Macaca fascicularis: one gene and its partners. The protein of the gene in region 7 interacts with the protein of the main gene of each other region in a pairwise test. Links are inferred from orthologs where the notes say so. Each region holds a gene or a part of one and is shown on either strand. Other genes may lie near its edges. The genes, in order: CCDC88A, TRAF3IP3, KALRN, DIXDC1, MRC2, CEP63 and NDEL1.

The links.
Region 1: the proteins of NDEL1 (region 7) and CCDC88A interact in a two-hybrid assay, tested with the Homo sapiens proteins (2 studies listed by BioGRID and IntAct). The link is inferred for Macaca fascicularis from reciprocal best matches to the Homo sapiens genes NDEL1 and CCDC88A.
Region 2: the proteins of NDEL1 (region 7) and TRAF3IP3 interact in binary tests that used the Homo sapiens proteins (3 or more experiments, as listed by UniProt). The two-hybrid records come from large-scale screens. The link is inferred for Macaca fascicularis from reciprocal best matches to the Homo sapiens genes NDEL1 and TRAF3IP3.
Region 3: the proteins of NDEL1 (region 7) and KALRN interact in a two-hybrid assay, tested with the Homo sapiens proteins (2 studies listed by BioGRID and IntAct). The link is inferred for Macaca fascicularis from reciprocal best matches to the Homo sapiens genes NDEL1 and KALRN.
Region 4: the proteins of NDEL1 (region 7) and DIXDC1 interact in binary tests that used the Homo sapiens proteins (3 or more experiments, as listed by UniProt). The link is inferred for Macaca fascicularis from reciprocal best matches to the Homo sapiens genes NDEL1 and DIXDC1.
Region 5: the proteins of NDEL1 (region 7) and MRC2 interact in a two-hybrid assay, tested with the Homo sapiens proteins (2 studies listed by BioGRID and IntAct). The link is inferred for Macaca fascicularis from reciprocal best matches to the Homo sapiens genes NDEL1 and MRC2.
Region 6: the proteins of NDEL1 (region 7) and CEP63 interact in a two-hybrid assay, tested with the Homo sapiens proteins (2 studies listed by BioGRID and IntAct). The link is inferred for Macaca fascicularis from reciprocal best matches to the Homo sapiens genes NDEL1 and CEP63.

Annotation. Positions count from the first base shown.
Region 1 is NC_088387.1:66,493,896-66,497,395, reverse strand, and holds part of CCDC88A (girdin), read right to left. Parts: intron 1,904-3,500; coding exon 1,742-1,903; intron 732-1,741; coding exon 454-731; intron 244-453; coding exon 100-243; intron 1-99. UniProt on the Homo sapiens protein: Bifunctional modulator of guanine nucleotide-binding proteins (G proteins). Acts as a non-receptor guanine nucleotide exchange factor which binds to and activates guanine nucleotide-binding protein G(i) alpha subunits.
Region 2 is NC_088375.1:67,597,420-67,600,919, reverse strand, and holds part of TRAF3IP3 (TRAF3-interacting JNK-activating modulator), read right to left. Parts: intron 3,140-3,500; coding exon 3,068-3,139; intron 2,944-3,067; exon of another isoform or gene 2,780-2,943; intron 746-2,779; coding exon 605-745; intron 497-604; coding exon 359-496; intron 1-358. UniProt on the Homo sapiens protein: Adapter protein that plays essential roles in both innate and adaptive immunity. Plays a crucial role in the regulation of thymocyte development.
Region 3 is NC_088376.1:159,202,860-159,206,930, forward strand, and holds the start of KALRN (kalirin), read right to left. Parts: upstream 2,801-4,071; 5' UTR 2,424-2,800; coding exon 2,351-2,423; intron 1-2,350. UniProt on the Homo sapiens protein: Promotes the exchange of GDP by GTP. Activates specific Rho GTPase family members, thereby inducing various signaling mechanisms that regulate neuronal shape, growth, and plasticity, through their effects on the actin cytoskeleton.
Region 4 is NC_088388.1:110,863,675-110,867,642, reverse strand, and holds the start of DIXDC1 (dixin), read right to left. Parts: upstream 2,801-3,968; 5' UTR 2,491-2,800; coding exon 2,431-2,490; intron 1-2,430. UniProt on the Homo sapiens protein: Positive effector of the Wnt signaling pathway; activates WNT3A signaling via DVL2. Regulates JNK activation by AXIN1 and DVL2.
Region 5 is NC_088390.1:69,154,562-69,158,061, reverse strand, and holds part of MRC2 (C-type mannose receptor 2), read right to left. Parts: intron 3,163-3,500; coding exon 3,014-3,162; intron 2,284-3,013; coding exon 2,066-2,283; intron 1,373-2,065; coding exon 1,230-1,372; intron 87-1,229; coding exon 1-86. UniProt on the Homo sapiens protein: May play a role as endocytotic lectin receptor displaying calcium-dependent lectin activity. Internalizes glycosylated ligands from the extracellular space for release in an endosomal compartment via clathrin-mediated endocytosis.
Region 6 is NC_088376.1:37,457,688-37,461,187, reverse strand, and holds part of CEP63 (centrosomal protein of 63 kDa), read right to left. Parts: intron 2,115-3,500; coding exon 2,000-2,114; intron 1,117-1,999; coding exon 919-1,116; intron 1-918. UniProt on the Homo sapiens protein: Required for normal spindle assembly.
Region 7 is NC_088390.1:8,477,260-8,481,242, reverse strand, and holds the start of NDEL1 (nuclear distribution protein nudE-like 1), read right to left. Parts: upstream 2,801-3,983; 5' UTR 2,625-2,800; intron 1-2,624. UniProt on the Homo sapiens protein: Required for organization of the cellular microtubule array and microtubule anchoring at the centrosome. May regulate microtubule organization at least in part by targeting the microtubule severing protein KATNA1 to the centrosome.

The DNA of each region.
Region 1 (3,500 bases), on a different chromosome or scaffold from region 7:
GAAATAATACATAATAAAAAATATATATATACACACACACATATATATGTATATACTTTCTACATAAAATGTTTGTTATATATAATATGTATTTATTACCTATCATTTTCACCACAAAGTTTCTTGTATTCTGCAGCTACCGTTTCATGGTTTTTATTTTCAAGCAGCATTTTTTCCTGTTCTACTTTGAGCATTTTTTCCAAATCTTCCAATTGTCCTTTCTGTTTTAATAACTGATTGTAACTGGGGGAAAAAAGGCATTTGGTTTATAATATTAACAAAAAAGAAACTTTAGAAATGAAGGAAATGAGTAATTATCATTTAAAACACAGGTAAATGTATATACATTTCCTACGTAAACTAACATTAGATGTGTTTAACATATAAAATTTATTATACTACTTGAAGAAAATTCATTTTAAATTCACAGTACAACAAAATATAACAAATTACCGGTCTTCAAGGTCTCTATGTTCCACCTCAAGATTTTTGTGGGCAGACTTCAGAGTTCCATGTTTAGAGATAAGAGATTCATACTCTGAAGCCTGACGTTCATGAAGAAGTTCCAGCTTTTCATGATCTTTGATCAGAGAATCATAGAGAGATTTTAGGTCTTCTCGCTCTTTGATTACCGATTCATTTTCATTTTCTAAGGAAGACTGCTGGATTAGGAGTTGTGCATTCTGGTTCATAAGTGAGGTACTTTGGGAATTAAGGGTAGAATTTTCAACCTATGAGAATATGTGTTGTTATCAGACATAAGAAAAATAGTTCACGTTCTTTTTTCAAAATACAAGATTACAATGTTAAATAAAGCAAGCTCTAAATGAATCACAGCAGATATATTTACATTATACTGGGAAGATTTTGATTTTAGTTTCCCAAAGAATAACGCTACCATTTAATTTTGATTTTTGGAAGTATTATAATACACACATACATACATATATGTGTGTGTGTATATTAGACATATATATATTTTATGTTTTGGGTTGAATTTATTTTAAATGAAGGTGATTAGCAACCATTTTATTATATTACAAATGAAAATGTATAGAATTTGAAGTGCTAGTTTATCATTTCTAGAATTTGGTGATAGAAGTTGATAGAAGTGAAAAATTACTTGTGGAAATTTTTCAAGAGTCCAAATTAAGTAAATATTTTCTTTATCAAACAAAGTGTTGATGCTGATCAAAGAAAAGGGTTACAGAAAGAAGAATTCTTAGATTCAGAGAGGGAACTTGTTTCTGTTCTTTAAGAGGTTTCAGAGTTGAACTTTCCCCCACCTGATTGTTCTGTCTGGAAAGACACTGGCGGTGTTAAGTATGGATCCTTTGAACTTAGGACAGGTCTAAAGACAAAATTCTCATGTTGTCCTGTTTTCCAGTAACTAAACTGATAAAAAAAGCTATACAAATGAAATAAGGAATAGTATGCTGCAACCATACTCTCAAACAAGGATTTCTACCTAATTTATTACAATCAACTTAATGAAATGGTAGAAAGACCACAAATATAATTTATCTCTATTTAGATGTATTGACTGAATTTATTAATATTTAAAGCCTTTGACATTTAAAAAATTGATGTGTGAAAGTTTAGGCATGGCACTAAATAAAAACATTTTCATTTATCTTTAAGTTCATTCGCTAAGAAACAATGTTTCCATGTTTACCCTCCCTTATTTTAATAGCATAATTTAAGAGTTTGGTTGCATATTCCCAAAATATTATATTACAACCTGAAGCTTGGCATTCTGTGTTTGAAGAGTGGTATTCTGTTCCTGTAATGATACTGTCTGCCTCTGAAGTGCAAGAATCTGAGCCTGCAAATTATTGTTTTGTGTCTCAAGCTGCTTCAGTTGAGTTTTCAACGCTTGCTTCTCTGCTTGCAGTGTAGCATTCTTAAAAAACAAAAACCGAAACCAAACATATTAATAACAATAGCAATACTAAACATATTTCTATAATATACTGAATTTTATACTATGAGTATTTATTAGCAGTACAATCCATAAAACCCCAACAATCTTAAAAGAGAAAAAAAAAAAAACATTTTCCCCATCCCAAATTGTAAACAGACATTCATCAGAAAGAAGGCAATAATACTAAAACCTTAATATTGTGCCTGTGTCTTGTCTGCACTATAATATCCTAAAAATAAAATATCCTATTCTAAATATATTTATTAACACAAAAACTAGAAAGGAATTGTCAGTTGTATGGTTTTAATACTGCTTGAAGGTTCCCAGAATGACCAGAATAAATGGGGCTGTGTCCAACCATGGAGATCTATCTTTTCTAATTTACCCAAAGGCAAATATATACCTAAGTGAGTGGTGGTCCCAGAGATAGTGCAAAACTAAGTAATTTCCAAACACAAATATTTCAAAGGGAAGCAGGTTTACAGGAACAATCTTAACCATCTGTTTGAAATTTGCAGTCCACAACAGACCTAACGCAGATATTTTCTTATTTTTCTCACGATATAAAATGCTAATTAAAACTCTACTTCAACTATAAGACTCCTGGAGCATTTCCAAACAAAACATAACATTTTCCGTTTTTCCGTAAGGCCATATTTCAATGTTATAACAAATGAACTACTATGCGAATCAATGATTATTATATTTTAAAATACTTGTCATTAATCTTTTCAGGATTATTTCTAAATTAAATTTCATAAAAAATCAGCAACAGCAAAGTACAAAGAACCCTCCAGAAAACAGAAATAAAACTTTAATATACTAAAGGTCATAACTGGTCTACCCTGCAGTATGCATAAAAAGTTAACAACTGAATCACAACAGATCACTCTTAACATATCTATATGTAAATATAACATTCACTTTATTGGCTTTATGTTATATACACTGCATGTCACTGTGTAAAAGGCAGGTCAGGATTTGACCCACATATTATACTATAAAATTGAAGCTGAGGAAACAAAATGCTTTAAGATGCGTTATGATTTTGTATTTCTCTTTTGTTCATTTGTTCAAATAAAAAGGATGAAAAAATGTATACTAGAAAAAATAAAATGGAATACTGACAGTACTGACGTATTTATATACCATCTCAGCACAAAGAGGTGAACCATTTTTCACATATATATGTGAAATACTATTGTAGTTTAGCACTTTAGAAACTAAATTGTACAAGCTCTACCGATTATTCCAGGTGTCTCTAGGAATAAAAAAAATTCCTATAGTCTATAATGAAGAGAAGAGATAGCTGAGAGGGTATCTTAGAGCAGGAAAAAATTTACAATGGAAAAGAAAGAAGTTAGCAAATATAATACTGGCAAACACAAAAATTACCAGCCTATTATATGGCTGACCGTCTTTATAACCCCATTATCTAAAATATGAAACGAAGTAATTTTTTTCCAATGGAAATTTATAAAGGAAGTCTACAAGAAAAAAAAAAGATTCACCTTACAGAACTTCATATGCCAGCTCAATTTTCTAAAATGTAATTATGAATCCAAGCAATATAGGT
Region 2 (3,500 bases), on a different chromosome or scaffold from region 7:
GCCAACAATGGGCAATTCTGAACTGGATGCTTTTTTGGGATGGAGTTTGGAGAGTGGGTTGGGATATGACATTAGTAGGCTGATATATATTCCAGCCAGTTCTTTTCATTTGGATGGTGATGGTGTCATTCCAATGAACGCTTAGTTCATTTGCATGAGCAGTGCAGACATCCTTGCTAAACTCGAAATTAAATTTCAGAGCCAAAACAGTGAATTTGGTACAAAGTAGGTGGTGACTGAGGAACTGAAAGCCAGATGCTGTCAGCTGCCTTTGGAGTCCCTAATCCAGAACAGCTTCTTCATCACCACCCCTCCTCCCCATACCCTGTCTTCCCTCCCCACCCCCAGTGCCTGGTACCTGCAGTTTGGACTGAAGCACGTTGAGTTGGCTCTCCAGCTCTCTGTGCTGGGACCCAAGGGTCCTCCAGTCCTCCTTCAGAGCCTCGTACTGGCTCCTCCACTCTTCACACTTCTGCTCTGCCAGGGCCAGGGATCGCTGAGGGAGGTCAGAGAGGAGAGGTTCCAGGGAGCTGTGCAGCTGGCTCCCTTGTTCCCCAAGCTGCCTGGAGTCCCCAACCCCAAGGTCTGTGTGGCATCCCCATACCTGTGTGCTCTGTAGTTGCTGCTCTGCGTTCATTTTCTCCTCCAGCACTTTCTGCAGTGACTCCTTGGCCTTCTGCTCATAGCTGTTTTTCTGGTCTTCCATCTCCAGTAGTACTTTTTTCATTCCCCAAGGGGAGTATTTCTGTAAATTTGATGCAATTCAACAAATACACATTGAACTTCTGTGTGCCAAATCCTGAACTGGGATACAGAAATGAAAAGAAGTTGGTTCTTCCCCCAGGCAGAGATACCAGTAATCTAGTGAGCCTTTTCTTTTAGGGTAGAGCTAGCAGGGAGAGTCCCTCAGGCAATGAGAGATGAGTGGGGGGGCATAATAAACAGTGCCCTAGGCTTGCTGGGCATTATATCTGAGGCCTTCCACAAGCTCTTGAAATCCAACATGTCTAAACAGGACTCATGTTTCTAAACATGTTCTTTTTTCTTGGGGTTCCTATCTCAGTGACCAGAATCATCATCCATCTAGTCTTTTCCAAACCCTAAACCAGGGAGTCAATCTTCATTTTCTCTCTCATTTCCTTCCAGTAATCAGTTGGTCATTGAACCTTGACAGTTTCCTTCATAGTTCATATCTGTCTCCTCTCTATCCCTACTGCTGCTTCCTTAGTTCAGGCTCTAGTAGTAGTGTTATGTGGATTAATGCAACAGCTTCCCTTTCTTCAAATCTTGCCTCCCTTCAGTCCCTTTTCAGTCCCGCATTTAGAAGGTTCTTTCTAAAATGCAAATCTGATCTTGCCACTTCCTGCATAAATTCTCCATGGATTCTCAGCATCCTAAGAATCACATCCAAACTCCTTGTCATGGCTCCACTTACATGCCTAGACTTTCATCCCATGCTACTTCCACCTAAGCTGAGATGTTTGCAGATCCCCTAGCACTCTGTTTTTTTGGCTTCTGCCTTTACCCATATAGCTTCTTCTGCCTAGAACTGGTTAACTTCTACTCATACTCAAGATTCAGTCCAGTATCATCAGTTCTGATAAATTGACCAACTGCCCCCATCCCACAATGTCTTATAGATTAGGCAGCTTTTCTTAGTGTTCATAGTGTTCACATAGTGTACCCTGCATGCCTCTATTATTCTACTCTGTTGACTCATCTGTTTTTCCTACTGGATTGTAAACTCCTTCAGGGAGGGAGCATACTGCTGCTGCTTTAAAAAAAAATCACTGTAGCTTCTCTACAATGCCTAATGAACTTAATGGTTTAAAATTAATACATTCGCGTTATAAAATTCCTCCTGGCTGCAGGATTAAGGAGACACAAGTGCAGCTTTGCAAATTCACTGGGGGTCTTGCCTTCTCCCTTTCTTTCATCTTTGTGTCCTGTGATTTCGGAGAAGGCAGGCAGATTTTACTGTCAATTCTGGATTACCCACTGTGTAAGCAGTAGACCAGATGACAAAAATTTAGGGATCAATATGAAATCATTTCCATTTAGCTTTGGAATTGTCTGAAATTTTGGATTTAAATTTGAGTGGGTCTTATAGTTTTGGAACTTTCATTAAAAACTAGATTCAGGAATTAACCTGGTTGAGGTCATATGTAGGGGATGTCCCAGTTATTGGACATCCAATGACCATCCATGCTGGGCACTGGTTATGTGTTATTCCTTATTGAAAATGAATAGATTGGCATTCTGGATTATATATTGGTCTCTTGTGAACTTGGTTGGCATTATTTAGTCCTGTCAAAGCAAGTCATACTGAATAAATGAAAGTTGTGGACCAAGAAACTTATAGACTCCATAAACTCTCTTCCCCTGTGAGACGCCATCTATGTGGCCAACTGTCTTCTCTCTCTAACTCCAGATGGGAGAAGTCTGCCTGTTCCGCCCCATTCTCTTATTTGACATCTTCCCACCTGTCAGGTATCCATCACTTCTCAAATGTGAAAGCTGATTTCTTTCTATCTCTTGTAAACCAAGATTAGGCCAATCAGGAGATTACTAATGCTGGAAAATGGTGTTACAGAAGAGCCAAGTAAAAGAGCTTTTACATTCTTCTAGGGGTTGCTAGAAAAAACAAAAAAAGTTGCCCATGGAATGAAAATCATTTTCTAAGACTTCGTTATAACATCTAACTCATCTGTTCAAAGATTAGGATGTGTAAAGATCTGTCTGGGTGTTGTGAATCTTTACCAAGGGCCTTTCCCTACAGTTTCAGGTATTCTCAAGGTTCCCCTGGAGCTGACAAAGTGGTTAGTGCTGGGATTCCTCCAGGGTGCAAAGAGAAGGATACTGGGAGAAAGGGAGAGGAAGAAGGATGGAGACAGTGATCTAGTGAATTAGAGACTAAAGTGAAAATGGCCAAGCCAGAACTGGGTAAGTAGGAATGGGTGTGTTATTCTCTATCTGGTGGCATTTCTCAAAAGTAAGATTGAGGTTCAAGCATTCTTCACATTTAATTCTAGATTCCCGAGATGGAAATATCCTTCAGAATGCTTACCTGGGTACAGGTGTACAGCTGGTTTTCTAAGGATCTCAGTTTCCCCTTCAGTTTGTCTTCATTAAGTTGTCCCTGGAGCAAATGGGATGAGTTAATGAGTGTGGGCCAAAATCTAGTCTGCAAAGAGTTTGACTCTATATTCCTATCCTACTGCCCAGCACATGGTTGATGCTCAAACAGTGAACTCTTTCAGGAGGCAGGCAGGAGCAAATATGACAAAGGATGCTGAATAGAAGAGGATCTTCTCTTCTTTCTCTAGACTAGGACAAGAAAGAATCAGACTGGCCTCAAGTCCTCCTTTTACCTCCATTTTTATCAAATGGCTCAGGGTAGCATAGCAGGGGAGCCCTGGAAGGAAAGCTTCTAAGCTACCCTTTCGCTCACTACCTCTCTCCCCTCTCTAGGCACTTCTGCACTCCTCACCTCTTCTCAG
Region 3 (4,071 bases), on a different chromosome or scaffold from region 7:
GTACTATGCTTATTACTGAGGTAATGAAATAATCTGTATACCAAACCCCTGTGACACATAGTTTACCTATATAACCTGCACTTCTACCCCTGAACCTAAAATAAAAATTAACAACAAAAAAAGACGAATCCCCAGCAAGAGCCTAGGCTAGAGACCAGAAGTGTGGTGAGAGTCAGTGAGCCAAGCATAGAGGGCCACACATGGTGGGTGTAGTCCTTGACCCACCCCCTCTTGCAACATGTTACAGGTCATCAGTCATTTCCAGCCTTATGCACCAAGGACTTAACCTTTCTCTGATACTAAGTGCACATCAGACTTAGCTCAGCCACTGGGCTGCCCAAGGAGGAGGGAGAATATCCCCAACATAGGAGTCCCACAGGAGACTGACCCGAGTCTGCTATTTATTTTGTGATTTGAGCCAGGGTTGGATAATGTGTGCCATACGTTGTGTTTTGAAAGGCCCTGGGAAAAGTTACACATTGGACTATTATTGGCCATTAACACCATTAACACTGTGTGAATTTATTGTCAGAAATAAGCCTCCAGGAACTGAGCTCTGCTACAGGTGCCTGGAACAGAAAATGAACAGGACCTAGTGTTTGGATGATACAAAGGGGAAAGAGGAGTGGACACCAAAAGGTAAAAGTGGGGTCCTGAAAGGGAAGGTGGAAAGGCTCACACTTCAAGATTTTTCCCCTAGAGCTAAGAAAATGCAGACTTTTGCCCCAGTTGGGAGGCAAGAGGGATCAGCTGGGTTTTTGATTGACTGGTCAATTTGTTTCTAGCCCCAGTTATGAGTTCCCATATCTCCCTTCCTCGTCCTCATAATGAGTATTTCTGGATATCACTTAGCCCCCAGAACCTTGTCCCTATATTCCACCTCTTTAGAATTCATGCTTTTGGGTGCTGGGCTGTTTGTGTATGAGAGAGAAGAAAGAAGAGAGAGAAAATATAATCCATGTCTCAGGAAGAGGAAGAAGGGAAGGAAGGAGGAAGAGAAGGAAGGTAGGCTTAGACCTAGGAAGCAGAATAGAATGACAGGGGCTCCCTCTGATTTCCCCAGACCCTGGCAGCAGCTCCTGTCATCCAGCTTTTTCCTCTGCACATCAACTAGAGAATGAACATATGAGCCAATCAAGTCTTGACTTCCAAAGCCACAAGTCTCCCCCACAAAGCACCCCACCCCCTTCCCTAGAGATGACCTCCAGGGCAAGGTAACAGGGTTAGGAAACAGATGGATGTGCAGAGACCCTCCAGAGCTAACCTGACCCCTGACCCCCACCAGTTCATGTCCTCTAATCCAACTTTCCAAAAGGGAGAGCAGATGCATGGGACCCCGGTAACTTACTGGACTCTTTGGGACAAAGATTCCAGACAAAATGGTTTCAGACATGTGGGGACATGGGGAGCTACACACAGAAGCTAGTGGAAGCCACAGGTACAGGGAGATGGGGAATCCCTGGCCATCAGAGAAACAGGGTCACAGGTGGTGGAAAACGAGGATGGTCAGTGCCGGTTCCCGGGAGGGACTGTGTAGCCAGGGAGCAGGAGGAGCAATGGACCCGGGACATGGACGGTGGCAGGGGCGCAAAGATCTAGAAAGACATCTCAGGGCTCTACACCTCACAGCAAGCAGAGACTTAGTGGGTGTGTATGAGAGGGACGCTAACTCACACTTCCAGGAATGAGTAATTCTTATGAATAGCTCCTCCGTTCCCAGAACTGAAGAGGAGGACAAGGGGGAGGTCCGAGGCGCCCACCGCCCTCCCAGCCGGGTCTGCCTCTCAAGTGAGAGGGGCCGGCTCCCCACACGCACCAGGCGAGACCCATGTCGTCCGCCCCGCTCCTGTCAGTCTGCAGCCGGCGCGGCTCCGGGTCCCCGCCGCCCCTCTGTGCACATCAGGGCCCCGGGCCCCCGACGGCGAGGAGGGGTGCCGGCCCAGGGCTGCCGCCGGGAGCCCCGCTGACAGGCACGGGGGAGGGGGAGCCAAGGGAGGGGCCGGGACGCCGGTAGCCGGAGCGGCGCGCTGCAAAGTGAGCCAACACCGCCCATCCCCGCGCTCCGGGAGAAGGCGGCCCGAGGGGACCGCCTCCCGCCTCCCCAACACGGACTCCCGCAACTGGGATGAAGGCGGAGGGGCGCGGAGTTCCCAGCCCCCACGCCCTCCCCAAACGCAGCCAGCACTGCCATAACAACCAGAATCTCGGCAACTCCCGCCCCGACGCCGAGGGGGCACTGGCCCCCAACACGCACGCGGCAGCAACAGCCCTCCTTCCCCAAACTTGTCCAAGACGCCGCGTCCGAGGCAGCAGCCTTCAGCCCCGGCCCCCCGCGCCCTGCCCAGCTTACCTGTCCGGAAAAAGGCGTCCACGTCCGAGTCGGCTGCTCCTCCTTCCTCCGCTGCTCCCTCAGGGGGGTTCATGACTGTGGGAGGGCGTCTGAGGGCAGCCGGGGGCCAGAGAAGCCTGGGGCCGAGGGCTGCTAGGCGCCCGATGGGCGGAGGGCGCGGGGCGCAGCGGCCGCGGCCGCAGAGCTGGCGGCCAGGGGGGCTTCGAGGGCGGGCGCTGGGCGGTGGGGCAGGGGCAGAGAACGCCGAGCCTCCCTCAAGCGGAGGCGCGCGGCGGGCTAGGGGTGCCTGCCGCCAGCTCCCCCATGGTACCCCTTCCCCAGGGCGCTGGCCGCCTGCTGTCTGGCTAGGGCCGGGAACCGAGGCCGGGGCGCGGGCTGCCTGGGTGCCCGCTGTCCCCCAGCAGCGGCAGCTGGCTCTCCTGCTCGCCTGTCTGCCTGTCTCTATTGTTCAGCCCTGCTCCGCTCTCTCCTCTTTATTTTTCCTCCTCCCTCCCACCCTCCCTGTCTCTCTACCTCCTCCCTCCCTCGCTCACTCGCTCACTCGCTACCTCCCTCCTTCGCTCGCTCGCTCTCTGGCTCCCCCTCTGGCTCCCGCCGCAGCCGCCGCCTCCCCAGCTCCTCCCCCGGCTCCCGCTCCCTCAGTCGCCGCCAACAATGACCCCTGGAGCGCCGAGCTGAACTGAAGCTCCAGCCCGGGCCGAGGGCTCGCTGCGGGCCCCCGGCGGCGCCGACGCCCCCTGTCCCAGCTTCCCTGCGCCGGCCTCCCAGGGAGCGAAGCCTGAGTCCCGAGCTATTGTTCGAGGCTGTGCTAGGCCGGCTTCCTGAGCTCGGCAGGAAAAGCCCGGGCCGAGGAGGGGGCGGGGCCGCCGGGCGAGCCCGGGGCTGCAGGGCGCAAGCCAGCCTAGTCCAGGGGCTCTGCGGCCCGGGCGCTGCGCGCTCTGCTTCTCCGCTCCCGACGCCAGTGCTCCACCCGGCCCAGCGGCCACCTCCTCCGCCCACTCCACTCCCAGGTGTGTGAGGGGAACACCAGGCTGCCCGCCCGCCTTCTCCGGATCTTCAGATCGGTCCCCAAGCTGGACTGACCTGTCCCTAGAGGCCGGCCTTTCTTCCCCTCCTTCCTGACGAACTCTCTTCTGTCTCCCTGCCCTCCTGAGCCTCTCACATTTTCCTCACCAGCTCGCCACAATTTCTCTCCTTTTTGTCTTTTCTCGTCCTTTTCCCCTTTTCAGCGCCCCTTTAAACATCTCCGCCTGTCTCTGTGACTCTTTGTCCAGTTTAATGCTCCTGTGATGTTTCCCTGCCTATCTCTCCCTCCCTCCGTCACTCTCTTGTCCCTCGTTTGTCTCTGTCCTGCCTCCGTACTTGGCCCTATCTCCGTGCTCCTCTTGGACAGCTGTCAAAACTCTCTAATCCCTGGGGCCTTCTCGGTTTTGTTCTTCTCCCTCATGTGAATGGAGAGATCCAGTTGGCCAGGAGAAAGGAGGTGTTACAGCAAGCTGAATTTCAATTAAAGTGGGGAGAGGGGCTGGGGAGGAGTGGGGATGACTGCAAAAAAGAAAACAGATGCTGTATGGGGTAATTAATGTGGTGATTGTATTGTGCCCATCAGTTTTTAAGTAATAATTAAACAATAATTATCCAGTAGTGTGTTTGTGGTTCTAGTGACTGCAGAGCCCACCAAACAGAAGGTCTTTAAGACCTGAGTACTTAATAAAGTCTGC
Region 4 (3,968 bases), on a different chromosome or scaffold from region 7:
AGATATACTTGGATCGTTCCCAGGAGGTGACTGGATACATGTGTGGTATTCGTAGCCTCAGTAGGAATTCTCAGAAGAATTAAAGCGTATTCTGACACGAGCTTTAAAATCCCTGTTTACATCCTTATCTCAAGGACTCTAAAAAAATAAATTGAATATTACTGGATCTATTAAGCAACCTTAGAGGCTGGAATAGGTCAAATAGGGCCCCATGGATACTAAAATAACCAATTACACTATTATTCAGTAGCACTAAATGTAATATTGTACGTAAAATGAATTATTTAATATAGAATGTGAAAGAATCATTTAAACTGTAAGAAACCATTCAAATTTAACATATTACTGTTATTGTTATTTAGATGATGTCAATTTTTCAGAGAAACCAAAAGTACTCATTGGCTATCAGAGTTCAAATCTAACAGAGAGGAACAGATGTACATTAGCTTGTGGAGGGGGTGGAGGGAAGTTTACAGGATGGGTAGAAAAATCAAATATCAGAGAAGGAAAAGAGGCACTACTGCATTATTCTAGGGACCAATTAATTAAAAAGTTATGCATCTGTGCTTTTTATGAAGATTCCATTACCACCACAAAAACATGATTCTCCCATTCCCCTTTTCCTTTAGGCCCTTATGTTTTTCAAGAATTGGAGGTCAGCGGATATTTATGGAAGCACCAAAGCATGAAACAGACGGCCAAGCCTCTTAGTTTACGTGGCTCTTTAGTCGAAAGGTTTCGAAGTGAAAATGAGCAGAAAACAAAGATTAGGACCAGCTCTGTGCTGGTTTCCTGCTCCTAAATAGACAGTGGGACCATCAAGAGCTGAGTTTTTTTGTTGTTGTTGTTGTTTTAAGTTGGAGCAGGAGGTATAAGACAACTAAAAGAGCTTCTGCCACAATTGGTGAATGAGTCAGACTTACGCAGCTAAAGACCAGGGGCAGCCCAAAGGCAGAGAGTGAGAAAAGAGGAACCAGAATATGGGAATCACTCAGAGGTAGGCTTCCTGGCTCTTCTGTGTTTCAACTCTTAGACTACAGCTCTTTGTTAACAATCCCCTTACATGTGTTCAGACAGGAATGATGCAAAGATGAGGTGCCCTACAGTGCAGACAGGATGCAAGCTCCGCCCCTCAGTGAAGGTTGTGATACCCCTTGGCCAAAGGAAAATTCCAACTCGGTTAGGTTGGAACAGCATTTCTGCAGTTTTCCTCTGTGTTAGGAACAAGGCTAGGGGATGGGGACCAGAACGGGGGAGTGTTCTGTGGCAGGTCAGGCTGCAGAGCTTCTTAATTAGAAACAGGAATTAAGGAAGGAGGCTGTAGTGCAGCCGCAGAAATAAAATCTTATACACGAATTCATGAGAATGGTTATTTGTGTGGAAAAGGCTGGAATGGGTGGGGGGAACCAAAGACACTTCAGTGTTGCCTATGATGTTCATATTTAAGAGGACAATGTATTCATATGTTGAGTAAAAACTGATTTTTAAAATCTTAAATTTTAGAGAGTCACAGAGAGAAGAAAGAGATGGAAGGAAAAGGAGGGAGAGAGAAATGAAGAAAGGCACAACTAACAGCGTAGGTTTCCCTGGATGCTGCGCTGAGACAACCCGCAGGAGTAGGGCTTAGCTGCAGTGGAAGACATATGGAAGACAATCTTGAGGGGGAAGCATCCCAAACCAGAATTTCCTGGGTCACAAGAAAAGCAAATGCAATAAATAGAATTGTAAGAGAAACAAGTGGAGAGGAAATGACCCCTTGTCGGCCCTAGCCCATCTTGCCTGTCAGACTGAGGCCCCAGTTCCTCTGCTCTCACATGGACGGGTGCACACGCTGGCTCCCTGGGATTGGGCCCAGGACCCAGGTCCCCTCTCGCTCAGTAGCTCCTCTCTGACAACCACGTCCTTGATTGCAGAGAAATCTACTGCCCCGGACTCAGAAAGAGATTCAGACATGAAGAGGGCACTTCACATGGACCATCTACAGTCCCCTGCCCTCTCAAACTTTCTACAAATGCAGTACCACTCCACCCTCCCTTGGCTCCGCTGGTTAGCTCCTGATATAGATGAGCACTTTTGCCAAATATCCAGGGATTCCCTGAGGATTTCCTTGGGGAGAGAAACTCTAGGGAGGATGGAGACCCCCTCTTCTGGAAGAAGGTGATTTCTGAATTTGTGGTCCTGTCCTCTTGGGCTCAGGTAAGCAAGCTATCAGGGAAGGTCATGGCCCAACTTAGCTGTGGGCAGGCAGCCCTTCTGATTTCTCCTGGTTCACCCATCTGCCCTGCAAGTACCACCTTAGCCCCTTGGGGTTCTGCGGGCGATTTGCTCTGGGGTCCCCAGAGGATGGGGGAGGAAGAGGACCCCTTCCGGAGACTGGGCGGGAGACGCTGGGGGAGGGGAGCTGAGGAGTGGGAGGAGCAGGACAGTTACCTCATTGAAGCCCTCCTGCAGGACGTCCAGTAAGTTCCCTCGGGTCAGGCAAGCTAGCATTGTTCTTGCTGGGGGCTCCCCGGGCGGGGTCTCCAGCCCGGCGGCCGCCGCAGCCTCCTCCTCCTCCCTCTGCACACAAAGGCTCTCGGCTCAGCTCATTGGGATCCCTCCGGAGTCCCGCATGCCACTTACTGGAAACCTAGACTGGAGCCAAACTAGCGGCTTGCACTGGGCATGCTCGCACGGGGGCCTCCGCTGGAGGGGCCCGGCGCGGTCGCGGTTCCTATGGAAACAGCTGGGCGCGCACTGGGTGAAGCGGCGCTGCCGGGCTGCCCCAAGTCCCGCTCTCCTGCGGGAAAGCCGCACGGGCAGGCGGGCTGGCGGGGGCGCGCGCTGCACGCCCGCACGCACGCGCACACACACCCCCCCGGGCCGCAGCACGGGCGTGTGTGCGTGCGCTACACACACACACACACACACACACACACACACACACACGGATTTTAGGCAAACGTTCTGCTCTATGTGCGCGCTGCGTGCATACACACACACACACACACACACACGTTGACAAACAGGCGGCCCGACTGGTGTATGCCAGCGCTTGCAGCCGCGCTTGCAGTCGCTTGCGCGCGCGCGTACACACACACACCCCAGGCTTGCAGGCGGGTGTGCCCGCGGGGAGGGTGCGCAACACACACACACACACTGCTAACTTAAGGCCACAAACGGCCCACCAGAAGGTGGGTGGGAAAGGGAGTGAATCATAGGATTTTCCCCCAGACTAACCGAAAACAGCAACCTTTTTCCACATGGGCCCTGGACAGTGAGGTCAAGTTAAAGAAGAGGAAGCAGAAGGGAAAGAAATAAGAAAGAGAAGAAGGAGCAGAGGAAGAAAGGGGGAAAAGAGGATAGAAAGAACTTTAGTTATTGATGGTATCAGAACACATTCAATAGAACAGTGCTAAACATCACACAGGATCACAAAAGAAACATCAAGGATGACCAAGGCTTTCCAAAATTTTCCTATTTCATTCTTTATAAAATAACTGCTAAAATATACAACCCATATTTTAATGTGTTTTAAAATAAATGGGTTTTAATTAAAATAAAGACAGCAAAAATGTCCTGGTGCATTTGAAAGAGTTAGGTAAAAAGCTTCCTCAAGTGAAACAGAAAGCTATTCTAGGCTGTTTCTAGCTATTCGAGTCATAGCCTTGATTATTTATTTTTAGGAATACTAGTCATTTGCAACTCAGTGCAAACTCTTGTTTCTATAGGAAAACTCGAAGCTGAAAAAACATTCATTTTACATTCCACCTCGTGATCCCAGATGGAGAGGAAGGGTTTACAGAGCATTAGGGCTCAGAGAAGGTCAGGGCCTTGTCCAAGGACGCAGCCAATCAGTGACAGGCAGCTCAAGGATCTAGGAGTCTACACTCATGATTTTCTGGGAGGCCCCGATTCCTCCTCAAACCCTGATTAGTACCTTAGCAAGAAAAGTCAGTATTGGCTCTTATTCAACCTAACAACCTCTT
Region 5 (3,500 bases), about 61 Mb from region 7:
AGCGCCAACTCTGACCCCCTCTGGGATCCCGACGGTTCAGGCCGATCCAGAACCAGTGCTGCTCGTGGATCTCGGGTTCTGATTCACTTCAGCACAACCCAGGAGTGGGGACGGAAGAGATGGGAAGTGAGAGGGGCAGGGACTCGAATGTGCCTCCTGTCCCTTGCAGCTGTGACCGGGGCAGCCCCCAGGGCCTGGGGCCTCTCCATCTGGGCTTCACATTGACCCCCATCGATACACCGTTGAGGCCACTTTGATAAAGTTCTCCCCACAGACAGAGCTGGAGAGAGTTGGACTAAGCTGTCCACTCAGAAGGCAGTGGCCCCTCCCCTTCGTTTGGGTTTCTTTTGGGCGAGGGTGCCCTGCCCAGCAAGATTCTGCAGGCTTTTACTTTACAGAGTTTAGGAAGTTCAGATGAGGAGGCAGCAGGGATCTACCGCTCTGGAGTTAAATAAACCTGGATTCAAGTATCGGTTCACCCATGAACTTGGGCAAATAACTTATCAACTCACAAGGGTCAGGGATTGACATCTATGGGTTGTCGGGAGGCCTGAGTGAGGATTATGTTTAGCACAGTGCCTGGTACGTGGTGAGAAGTGATGACCATGAGCTATTGTAATTATGAGTCAAATAATGTAATCTTGATGTTTGCTGAGAGGAGAGATCCCTTCAACTAAGCTATCAGGAAGCCTGGATCTGTCTGGATTTTCCCAGTGCTAGGGGATTCCAGGTGCTGATGCTCAGAGCCCAGGACACAGACGGTGTCTCAGAGGGATGCCCATGGGCACATCCTCACAGCTGCGGCCTTTCTCCTCCCATCTCTCAGGAAAAACTGTTGATTGAGGAGTGTGGGTCATTGTGGGATGGTGTAAGGTGAGGGGAAACAGTTGCCAGGACCAGCTGGTAGGAGATTTTGCAATGGGGTGGGAGGTACATATGTAAGGTTGTGAGTCTGTTGGGACGTTGCTGGGGGGGTGATGATGAGCAATACACAGTCTCCTATGAGTGTGTGGCTCACACAAGCATGTTCTCCCAAGACGCCAGGGCACCATGGCTACTTGAGTGGGGACAAGATGGTCCTGGCACCAGCAGCAGATATAGGCCTCCCTGGGGTCACCCACACTCTGCCATTCCCACCCCTCGCCCAATGAAACCACGGGTCTGTCGGCCACGCCTGCTCCTACATGTGAGCAGGTGCCCTCCTACCACGCCTCAGCCCAGCTCAGTACCCGAAGATCTTGTTGAGCATGTTGGCCACAAAGTGCTCCTCCTCATAGCTGGCCAGGCTCAGCAGCTGGGCCCCCAGCTCCTGGCAGGCCCCCTGGGCCTGGACCCAGCTCTTCTTGTCCTGCAGCCGCTCAGAGCTGAACACCTGCAGGGGCAGAGTCCAGCTGTCTACGCTGTCCCCACCGGCCCACCCTTCAGGGGGCACCTACTACCTTTCCCACCATGGCAGAGGAAGGGGCTGGAGCCTCACTGGACGGGGCTCAGGCTAGCTAAGGACAATCCTGCAGATGAGGTCCGGGGAGGGGAGCTGGCACAGTCACCTCCTCGTGAGTGCCCCTGAGCCCCATCCCCTGACCAGCAGGGAGATCCAGGCTCTAATCCCAGTAGAGCCACAGCTTAATGTGGGTAAGTCCCTTCTTCTCCCTAGACTTCAGTTTCTGTGCATAATAAAAGACCTTGGACTCTGCCAGTGGCTCCCAAACCTAGCAGGATTAGAAATACAGACTACCAGGCCCAATCCAGACCTAATGAATCTAAATCTCCATCGTGACACCTAGATTTTATTTTTATCAGGTTCCCCAAGCAATTCTTAAGAGCAGCTAGACTGGCCCCAACATTTGGGAACCTCTGAAATCAATGATCTGTGGTTCCCTCAATTCCTCAAATGGTTATTGAGCACCAGGCCTCCAGATTCCATGGACAAGTCCTCACCAGAAATCACCTGTCCGCAGGCTGGTGTGTCTCTGGATTGTGGCTGGACCCACTGGGACCTCCACCCAAACGGTCTCTTTGCTCCTGTCCTCCCCCTGCCCCCCACCCTGCCAACAGGCTGCCCTACCTTATAGCAATACCGGAGTTTGGGGTCCGAGGCCCAGCCCTGGGGACAGGAGCCAGTGAGGCTGGGTGTGGGATCTGGCCCAGGCAGCTCCGGCGTCACTGGAGTGCCCAGGCTCTGCCGGCAGATGTAGCGGGCCCGGAACGAGGTACAGTTCTTCACCTCCCACAGCCCCATGGCGCTGCCAGTGGCCAGGGCCACGCAGCCCCCACGGCTGTACCCTGAAGGAGAGGGAAGGGAGACCCAGGCTCTGAGAAGGATTCATAGTCCGGTCCTCCCTCACATCCCAGCAGGGCACCAGCACAGCCCTCACACTGGGAACCAGTTTGGCCACCTCTTCAGAGACATGCTCTCTGGGGTTGGGGCCGGGAGGGAGGAAGGGAATGGAGGCAGAGCCCTGGCTCTGGGTTCACTCACTGTGAGGGCTCAGGCAAGCTGCTTAACCTCGCCGAGCCTGCTTCATCATCTACCTCATCAGGTTATTGAACGTGTTAGAAAGATAATGAATGTGAAATGGTAATAATAGTAATAACAAGCACTTGTATTGCGCTCAGTATTCTAAACACTTTTTTTAATGAGCCCAGATAGAGAATTTTTTTCTTTTTCTTTTTTGTGAGCCCAGATAGAGAAGTAATCTAGACACTTTACACACATTATCTCTTTACACCTATTAGCACTTTACATATATTTAAGACTGATATCATCCCTATGAGAAAAGGATCATTATCCCCATTGGACAGATTGAGAAAACTGAGGCTCAGAGGATGCACAGCTAATAGACGGCAGAGTCAGGATCGGAGCCAGGCAGTTTGGTTTCAGAGCTCGTGCTCATAGCCACTACACCACACTGCACCAATGATCCATTTATGGGGCTGCCCTGGGGCTCGGCAGGACCAGTCCACCCCCACCTCCCTCCTCACTTCACCAAGGCACATTAAAGAAGGGGCTCACCGGGCTGGTCCCGGTTCCAGTGGGTGTACATGACTTCATCCCCGCTGAGCCAGCGGAAGGAGCCGGTGCTGTTGAGGTCCTGCAAGGCCGTCCAGAAGTACTCGCCCTCCCAGTTGTAGATGAGGCTGCTGACGAAGGCCTGCTCGAACCTTCGGGAAACGGGCTGGTCAGGGCAGGGATCTCCCCCTATCCCAATCCCCCACCCACAGGCCAGACACCCTGCCCCGGAAGCTCTGGTGCTGCACCTGACCAGTAACTTGCTCAAGAAAGCAGGGACCCTTGGGAGCCCTGCAGCTGACTGATGGAACCCCCCCAGCTGCCCCTTCTACTCTCTGCACCCCGTGCCTTGCTGAAAAGAAAGTCGAGAAAATCAGACACAGCCAAGGCCTATCTTTCTCAGGTATCCAGCCCACACCTGTGCCTGCCCGGGCCCTGCTCAGGCCCCGCCCTACACTGGGGTCACTTAACAAGTGAGAGTCATTCTTCT
Region 6 (3,500 bases), on a different chromosome or scaffold from region 7:
TTATTCCAAACAAATGTGTTAAACCAAAGTCCTCTCCACCAGTTTCCCCAGTCTGTGTACTTTTCACACAAATTCATTATCCTTCGCCAAACTAGATCCCTGTCTTTTCTCTATTTAATTAAAGAGCATCACTTTCCATCAGTTGCCTAAGCTTAAATCCTGTGGAACACCATTTCTTAACTCTGCCTACCTCACCCTCCCTGCCAATCAAATACAATGCCCAGTCATTTTTACCAGCCCAGTATCTCCAGAATTCATCCATTTATCTCTCCCTCCCTTACCCACTGCTCAGGCCACCATCTTACCACTGTAACAGCATCTGGGTGCTCTGTCTCCCTGCTTATTCTCCATTTAAAGACCACTGAATTTTACTCCTGCTTGTGGCCACTGCCTACTGACCTCAAGGTCACAGTATAACTCCTTTATGTGGCTAACAGAGCCTTTCAGCAGCCAGTCTCTGCTTTCCAGTCTCATACCTTCCACTCATCCCACGTGTACTCTAGTTTCAACCACAGCAAGCGTGTTTCAACCACAGCAAGCGTGTTCTACTATCTCTTAGAGACCTCTGTATTTTCCTGTGCCTGAAATACTTTTCCTTCCCCTCACCCAGCTCGCTCCTAACTTAGCTTTGCTATCACACCTTCTGGAAGGCCTTTGCAGCGAGTGGTCTAGATTCAGGCTGCTTGTGATCTCTAGTGACTCTCATCATACACCACTGATATAGTCACTTTACTTGTCTGTGTCTACTCTCACCTCTGCACCACCCTCACTAAACTCTCTGTTAACCAGCATACCCTCAGCTCAAAGCAGGTATCTAATAAAAATTCACTGAATTAAATATTATGAAAATTATGTCTTTAATCAATTCCATCTTTAAAACAAATTTCAAATTTAAAAAAGTTTTTGTTCAGGCTTCACCTTATGCTCTACTGCTTTTTCTTCTGCCTTTTGCATCTCTGCTTTGAGTCGCTTTTCCATGTCTGAGGAAGAACCTTTGGTGGAAGCAATAGAGATATCTCGCTGATGTAACTCCTGAGTTAGATGGGAGATTTCCATCTTCATTCCTTCTAGTGCAGAACTGTAACTTTGTTCACCCTGTAAAATCTGTTCTTTCAACTATAAAGAAAGCAGAAAAGAAAGCACCAAAAGAGAAAGCATTTAGATAGAATAATATGTTACCAGCTAATAAAATAAAAGCTTACCTTATCTCAAGACATTAAATTTCTCCTGAATTAAATCTGCAGAAAAATTAGCAATTAACCAAGTTGCATATCTGTACTGAAGGTCAGGTGGTTATACCTACAATCATTTATTATACCTCAAAACAGGGAGAGATGGGTTATTCAAGTGCTGAGGACCACAATCAAGGTCCATGCACACTATTTAGAGGACAGTACTTGTGACCTTCATTCTTTTTTTTAGTTGTGAATCTAAAAGTTTTGCTCATATGGTATCTTGGTCCACAGGATAACAAACAGAAAGAACAAGAGGAAGAAACAAGCGAGAAGTAATCTTCAAGAAGTAACAAAAAATACAAAACAACAAATAGGACAGTTAGGACCCACTCATATAGACACAAACAGCTCTGCATACCTCAATAGCTGACAAGGATACCAACCACATCACAGCACAGGAGACAATCCATAAATACTATGTTTAGGCAATAAGAAAATATTAAATGACAGTTCATATTTTTTTGCAAACACTAAGTGTATGTCTTTTAGAAAACTTTTCATTAAAACATGTTTAAAATAAAGTTTTTAAGTTCAAAGGGAACAGCCTTCAATTATCTTAAAAATATTTATTGGGCATCGGGGGGATGCCAGAGAAAGAAGGCACTTTCCCTATGCACATTCCACGTACTCTTCCACTCCTAAATATCAAGTGGCCCCTTGAACTACATTTTTCTCTCATTAAAAATAACCCCTATAATCTCCAAACCCACAGCTCAGTCCATAAACACATACAATTTTGCAATCCTAGGTATGCATATTTTTACCTTCTTAATCTCTGCTCTGTATTCATTGTTATGTGCTTCCATCCTCTTTAATTCTTCGTATTTTTCCATTAGTTCTTGACTCAGCTGTTTACATGTTGCACTCACAGATTCCAAACTGTATGACAAAAATAAGATCCCATATTTAAAACAAAACCAAAATCCCGAAACCTATAAATTGGACTATATAATTTACATTCTTGATGTCCAAAAAATATTCAGCCAATATCTTAAACATCACATCACTCATTTAAATATTACTAAAAAGCCAATCAATAAAAAAACTGTGATAAAAATGTAAATTGTTGTCCCAATGTCAAAAATAATAAACTTAATTTTAGTCAAATGGAAGAGTACACATATACTTCAATGATAACAAAGATTATCTCAAGTACTCCAAGTATTCCAAAAGGAATAAAGCAGAAAATATGTGTGTGTATGTATGTTTGTGCATTTAACATGTAGATAAAAGAAAATACTTACTGGTTTCCAAAACCAGAAATAAATGTAAAAACAAAAAATGTATTACTTAAAGATAACTTAAAAAGTGTAAAATGATATTTCTCTTGTTGTTTGCCTAAAGGTTAACAGTTCATGTTAAAAGTAATTTTATCTTTTACATACAGAAAATGCCAGTGTACAAATGATAATGAGTCATGTGTTTAAAACAAAATATCACACTCTTCCCAATCCAAAAGTTGAGAGGTATGAAAAACCAAAAAAAAAATTATAAGTACGACAATGACAAGAGTTTAGGTAGGTATGGTATAGCATTAGTCAGGATTCAATTAACACCCAAGGAAGTAACACCACCACAGCAGAACAAAAAGGAGGATCACCGTGTGTCAACTGTTACCCCTTCCTACCCTGCTTCCAAGGTGGCAGGGAGGACAACCTAAGTGAAGGGCTGCTAAACAGGTGAAAGGTAAAGAAGTAGAGTCAGTATAGACAATTCTTTTGAAGAATTTGGTCTTAAAGAGAAGTACAGAAATGTGGAAGTAACTTGACGGAGATATAGGATTAAGGGATGGTTTTTCCCCCAGATGGGTGACGTTATAGCATATTTTATACCAGTGGATATAATTCAGCGGAGAGAAAGAACTTGATGATGTAGAAAAGAAAGGATATAACTACAGAAAAAGGACACAAGTGGAGTAGTTGGTCTTAGAAGTGCAGAAAGGCACAGGTGTGGGAAGACTGGTAGTTTTGATGACAGAAAGATTAAGAAGTTCTCCTTTAATTGCTGCTGTCTTCTCAATGAAATAAGAACTTAGGGCAGGGCGTGGTGGCTCACACCTGTAATCTCAGCACTTTGGGACGCTGAGGCGGGTAGATCACCTGAGGTCAGGAGTTCAAGACCAGCCTGGCCAACATGGTGAAACCCTGTCTCTACAAAAATACAAAAATTAGCCAGGCGTGGTGGCGCACGCCTGTAATCTCAGCTACTTGGAAGGCTGGGGAGGAAGAATCGCTTGAACCGGGAGGCAGAGGTTGCAGTGAGCCG
Region 7 (3,983 bases):
ATCTACTTTCTTCAGTGTATTAGAGTTCAAATACAATAATACTAATACCTTGTTCTCCTTTAGATCTGGTTCTATAATCAGTTTTTTCTTGCTTTTTGTTTATTTGGTCTTGTCTCCTGGTATATCTGCTAATTTTTGTTAAATATTGGATGCTGGGTAGAATGAAAACTCGCATTCTCACTTACAGGTTGGAGTTAAAACAAAAATTGTAGAGGCTCTGAATGATGTTCTCCAGAAAATATGTAAATTTCTTCACCCCCCGGCCAGCCCATTAGAGTAGGGTCAAATCATTTAATCCAATCAGGAATTGAGATGTTACAGGCTTTGTGTGGGCTGGTCTATTTCTGGATTGCCCTGATTCCTCGGTCATGGTCTTGTAGGACTCTCTCTGAAACCCTAGGGCATTTACCAGATTCTTCTTATCAGACCCTGAACTCCAATTTTTAAATTCTCACAACCCTGAAAAGCCCAAAAGCGAGGCTCAGCTTAAGAATAGCTTTCTGATTTGCTTCTGCCCCTCACCCTCACAACAACACGTGCAGAGAATATGATTTGGCAAATTTTCTGAGAAAAGAAACTACATGGAAATTGGGGCTCGCCTCTCTCATGCCCTTTTCCCCAGGATCTTAGTTCCTTACATTCTGTTTGCCTTGGATTCTAATTTTTGAGCCCTGTGATACTGCCCAAGCTTTAGGTTACCCTTTTCTGCCCAGCCTCAATGTCTCCCAAGCAAACTGGCAAATTTCTTGAGAGTCAAAAGCAGTGAAGAATATCCCCTGACCTCAAAGTGGTTCCCTTCTCTCCAGGATTCTGGTTATTTAATTCCACACATGTTGAGTGCTTTCTGATGCCTTAAAACAGCCGTGTGTGTATGTGGTGTGTGTGCGTGTGTGTGTGTGTAAGAGAGAGAGATCTAATTTTTACATCGTCCTCTAAAAGAATCCTAATCTGATCCAAGCCAGTCTGTCACAACCAAATCAAAAAGCAATGGATGCATATTTTTTAAAATGAGAACTCTAGCCGGGTGCAGTGGCTCCCGCCTGTAATCCCAGCAGTTTGGGAGCCTGAGGCGGGCTGAGGTCAGGAGTTCAAGACCAGCTTGACCAACATGGAGAAACCCTGTCTCTACTAAAAATATGAAACTAGCCAGGCGTGGTGGCGCATGCTTGTAATACCAGCTACAGAATCGCTTGAACCCAGGAGGCAGAGGTTGCGGTTAGCTGAGATTGCGCCATTGCACTCCAGCCTGGGCAAGAAGAGCGAAACTCTATCTCAAAAAAAAAAAAAAAAAAAGAACTCTGACCATTCTGGAGAAGACCATGAGGGAAGAGAGTTGAAGCAGAAAAGGAAGTGAACGGGCTATTGCAGAATTCCAAACAAGCTGATGGTAATGCCTTAAGCTAGGATACTGACCCTGATGACAGAGAGGTGGATGACTTTCAGATTTTTTTCTTTTGGTAAAGATAATGTTATAATAATATCCAGGCAAAGTGGGTGGGGGTGACAACAAAAGACAATTTCAAATATCGCTGAAGGGAGTCCAAATTGGCACAACCTTCTAAAAGGCAAATTTACAATATTTATCACAAGGCTTTAAAACAATATTATCCTTTGAGCTGTCGATTCTATTGCTAGTAATTTATTTTAAGGAAATACCACCAATATATTTAGTAAAAACACTTATTGCAGACTTTTTTTTTTTTTTTGAGATGGAGTTTCACTCTTGTTGCCCAGGCTGGAGTGCAATGGCGCCGTCTCAGCGCACTGCAACCCCCACCTCCCGGGTTCAAGCGATTCTCCTGCCTCAGCCTCCCTAGTAGCTGGGATTACAGGTGGATGCCACGACGCCCAGATAATTTTTGTATTTTTAGTAGAGACAGGGTTTCACCATGATGGTCAAGGCTGGTTTCAAACTCCTGACCTCAGGGGATCCGCCCGGCCTTGGCCTCCCAAAGTGCTGAGATTACAGGCGAGAGCCACCGCACCCCGCCAACAATTTTTATAATAGGGAAAAATCGGAAACAACCTAAATATGAATCAACATGAGATTAGTTAAGCAAATTACTATATCTATTAAAAAAGAGGATCTAAAAGAATGTTTATTGGGATTAAAAGATAACAATTGAAAAAAAAAAGGTCCAAAAAGCATTCATACAATGTGACCCCATTTATCTTAAAAATAATTATATATAATATGTGTAAGTACAACTATACATTTTAACATAATTATATATTATATGGCCATATTATATATATACACACACACGCTGGAATAAACACCAAAATACTAATGGTAGTTTTCTGTAGAAGTGGTGTACAGCTTGTATTTTGTGTGTGTGCGTGCGTGTGTTTATGTGTGTGTTAACATTTTCCACATTTTTTTTCAACAGTAGTGCTATTTTTATCATCCGAAAATAAAATTGTTCTTACTCTGAACTCTGTCCCTGACCCTAGCCTTACCTGTCTCAAGAATTGAGGCCTCTCAGCTGTCAGGAAGGATTAAAGCCCTGGGATGAAGACTGCCAACTCAGAAAATCCTCCAAGGCGGCCAGCTCACATCAAGCACTCTTTCTCCAAATGCTGCCACCACCCCGGGAGTCGAGAGAGGTTTCCCTTCCACCTACCGTGTCCCTGAGAACAAATCTCCCCGCTGTCTTGGTGACTTCCCTCCCCTGCCTGTCCTGAAGCGTCTCTGCCCCGGGAGTGGGTCACTTGACGACAGCGAGAGGGAATCCATGCGCTAGATGCCAAGAGCGCAGCCCCGTGCTGCCCGGGCTGGCACAAGCTTGGGCCATGACTCAGCCCCTTCCTGCTCACCCGACGTCCCGCCCTGCTGTCTCCGCTTCCTCCCTGGCCCACACCCTCGGGTCACTATCCTTCCTTGCTAGTTTCATCCTGTTGAAAGAGTCCCAGCTACTTTTCTCTGGATTGTTTTATTTGATCCACTTCAGTGGTGTCCCATCCAAAGGACTCTCGGGTCAAGCATCTCACCCGGGCCTTGGGCTCAGCCACAGAAAGTCCTAGAGTCGCCTATTTCTAGCTCTGGGACCCCAAGTTTCTGTCCCCTGCGTGGGTGCCAGCCACTCGTGCCAGAGCGCCAGCCCTCACCCACTCGTGCCAGAGTGTACATGTGTGACACTTCAGATGGTACACAAGTGAACTTTTTATACTTAGAAGTTTATATTAATTTATTAAAGTTTGTACCATTTCAGGAATTGAGATTTCAAGTTTCATTATATTACATACATACTTTTTTTTTTTTTTTTTTTTTTTTGAGACGGACTCTCGCTCTGTCAGCAGGCTGGAATGCAATGGCTCAATCTCAGCTCACTGCAACCTCTGCCTCTCGAGTTCAAGAGATTCTCCTACCTCAGCCTCTCGAGTAGCTGGGACTACAGGCGCGTGCCACCACCATGCCCGGCTAATTTTTTGTATTTTAGTAAAGACGGGGTTTCACCATGTTGGCCAGGATGGTCTCGATTTCCTGACCTCGTGATCCGCCCGCCTCGGCCTCCCAGGGTGCTGGGATTACAGGCGTAAGCCACCACGCCCAGCCCCTAATTATATTTTTAAGGTACAGATACTTATATTTGAGGCTGTTAAAGATATGACTGCTTATGTTTAAGGGTTGTGTTTTGTTTTGTATTTTTTCCCAGGCTGGACTACAGTGGCGCAATCTCTGCAACCTCTTCCTCCCAGGTTCAAACAAAATTCTCGTGTCTCAGCCTCCTGAGTATCTGGGATTACAGACCCACTCCACCACACCTGGTTAATTTTTGTATTTTAGTAGAGATGGAGTTTCACCATGGTGCCCAGGCTAGTCTCGAACTCCTGAGCTCAAGCGAGCCACTCACCTTAGCCCCCCAAAGTGCCAGGATTATGAGTGTGAGCCACGGCACCAGGCCAGGCCATGTTTAAGATATTTTTAAGAAATTGATGTTTTTGCTGGGCGCAGTGGCTCATGCCTGTAATCCTAGCACTGT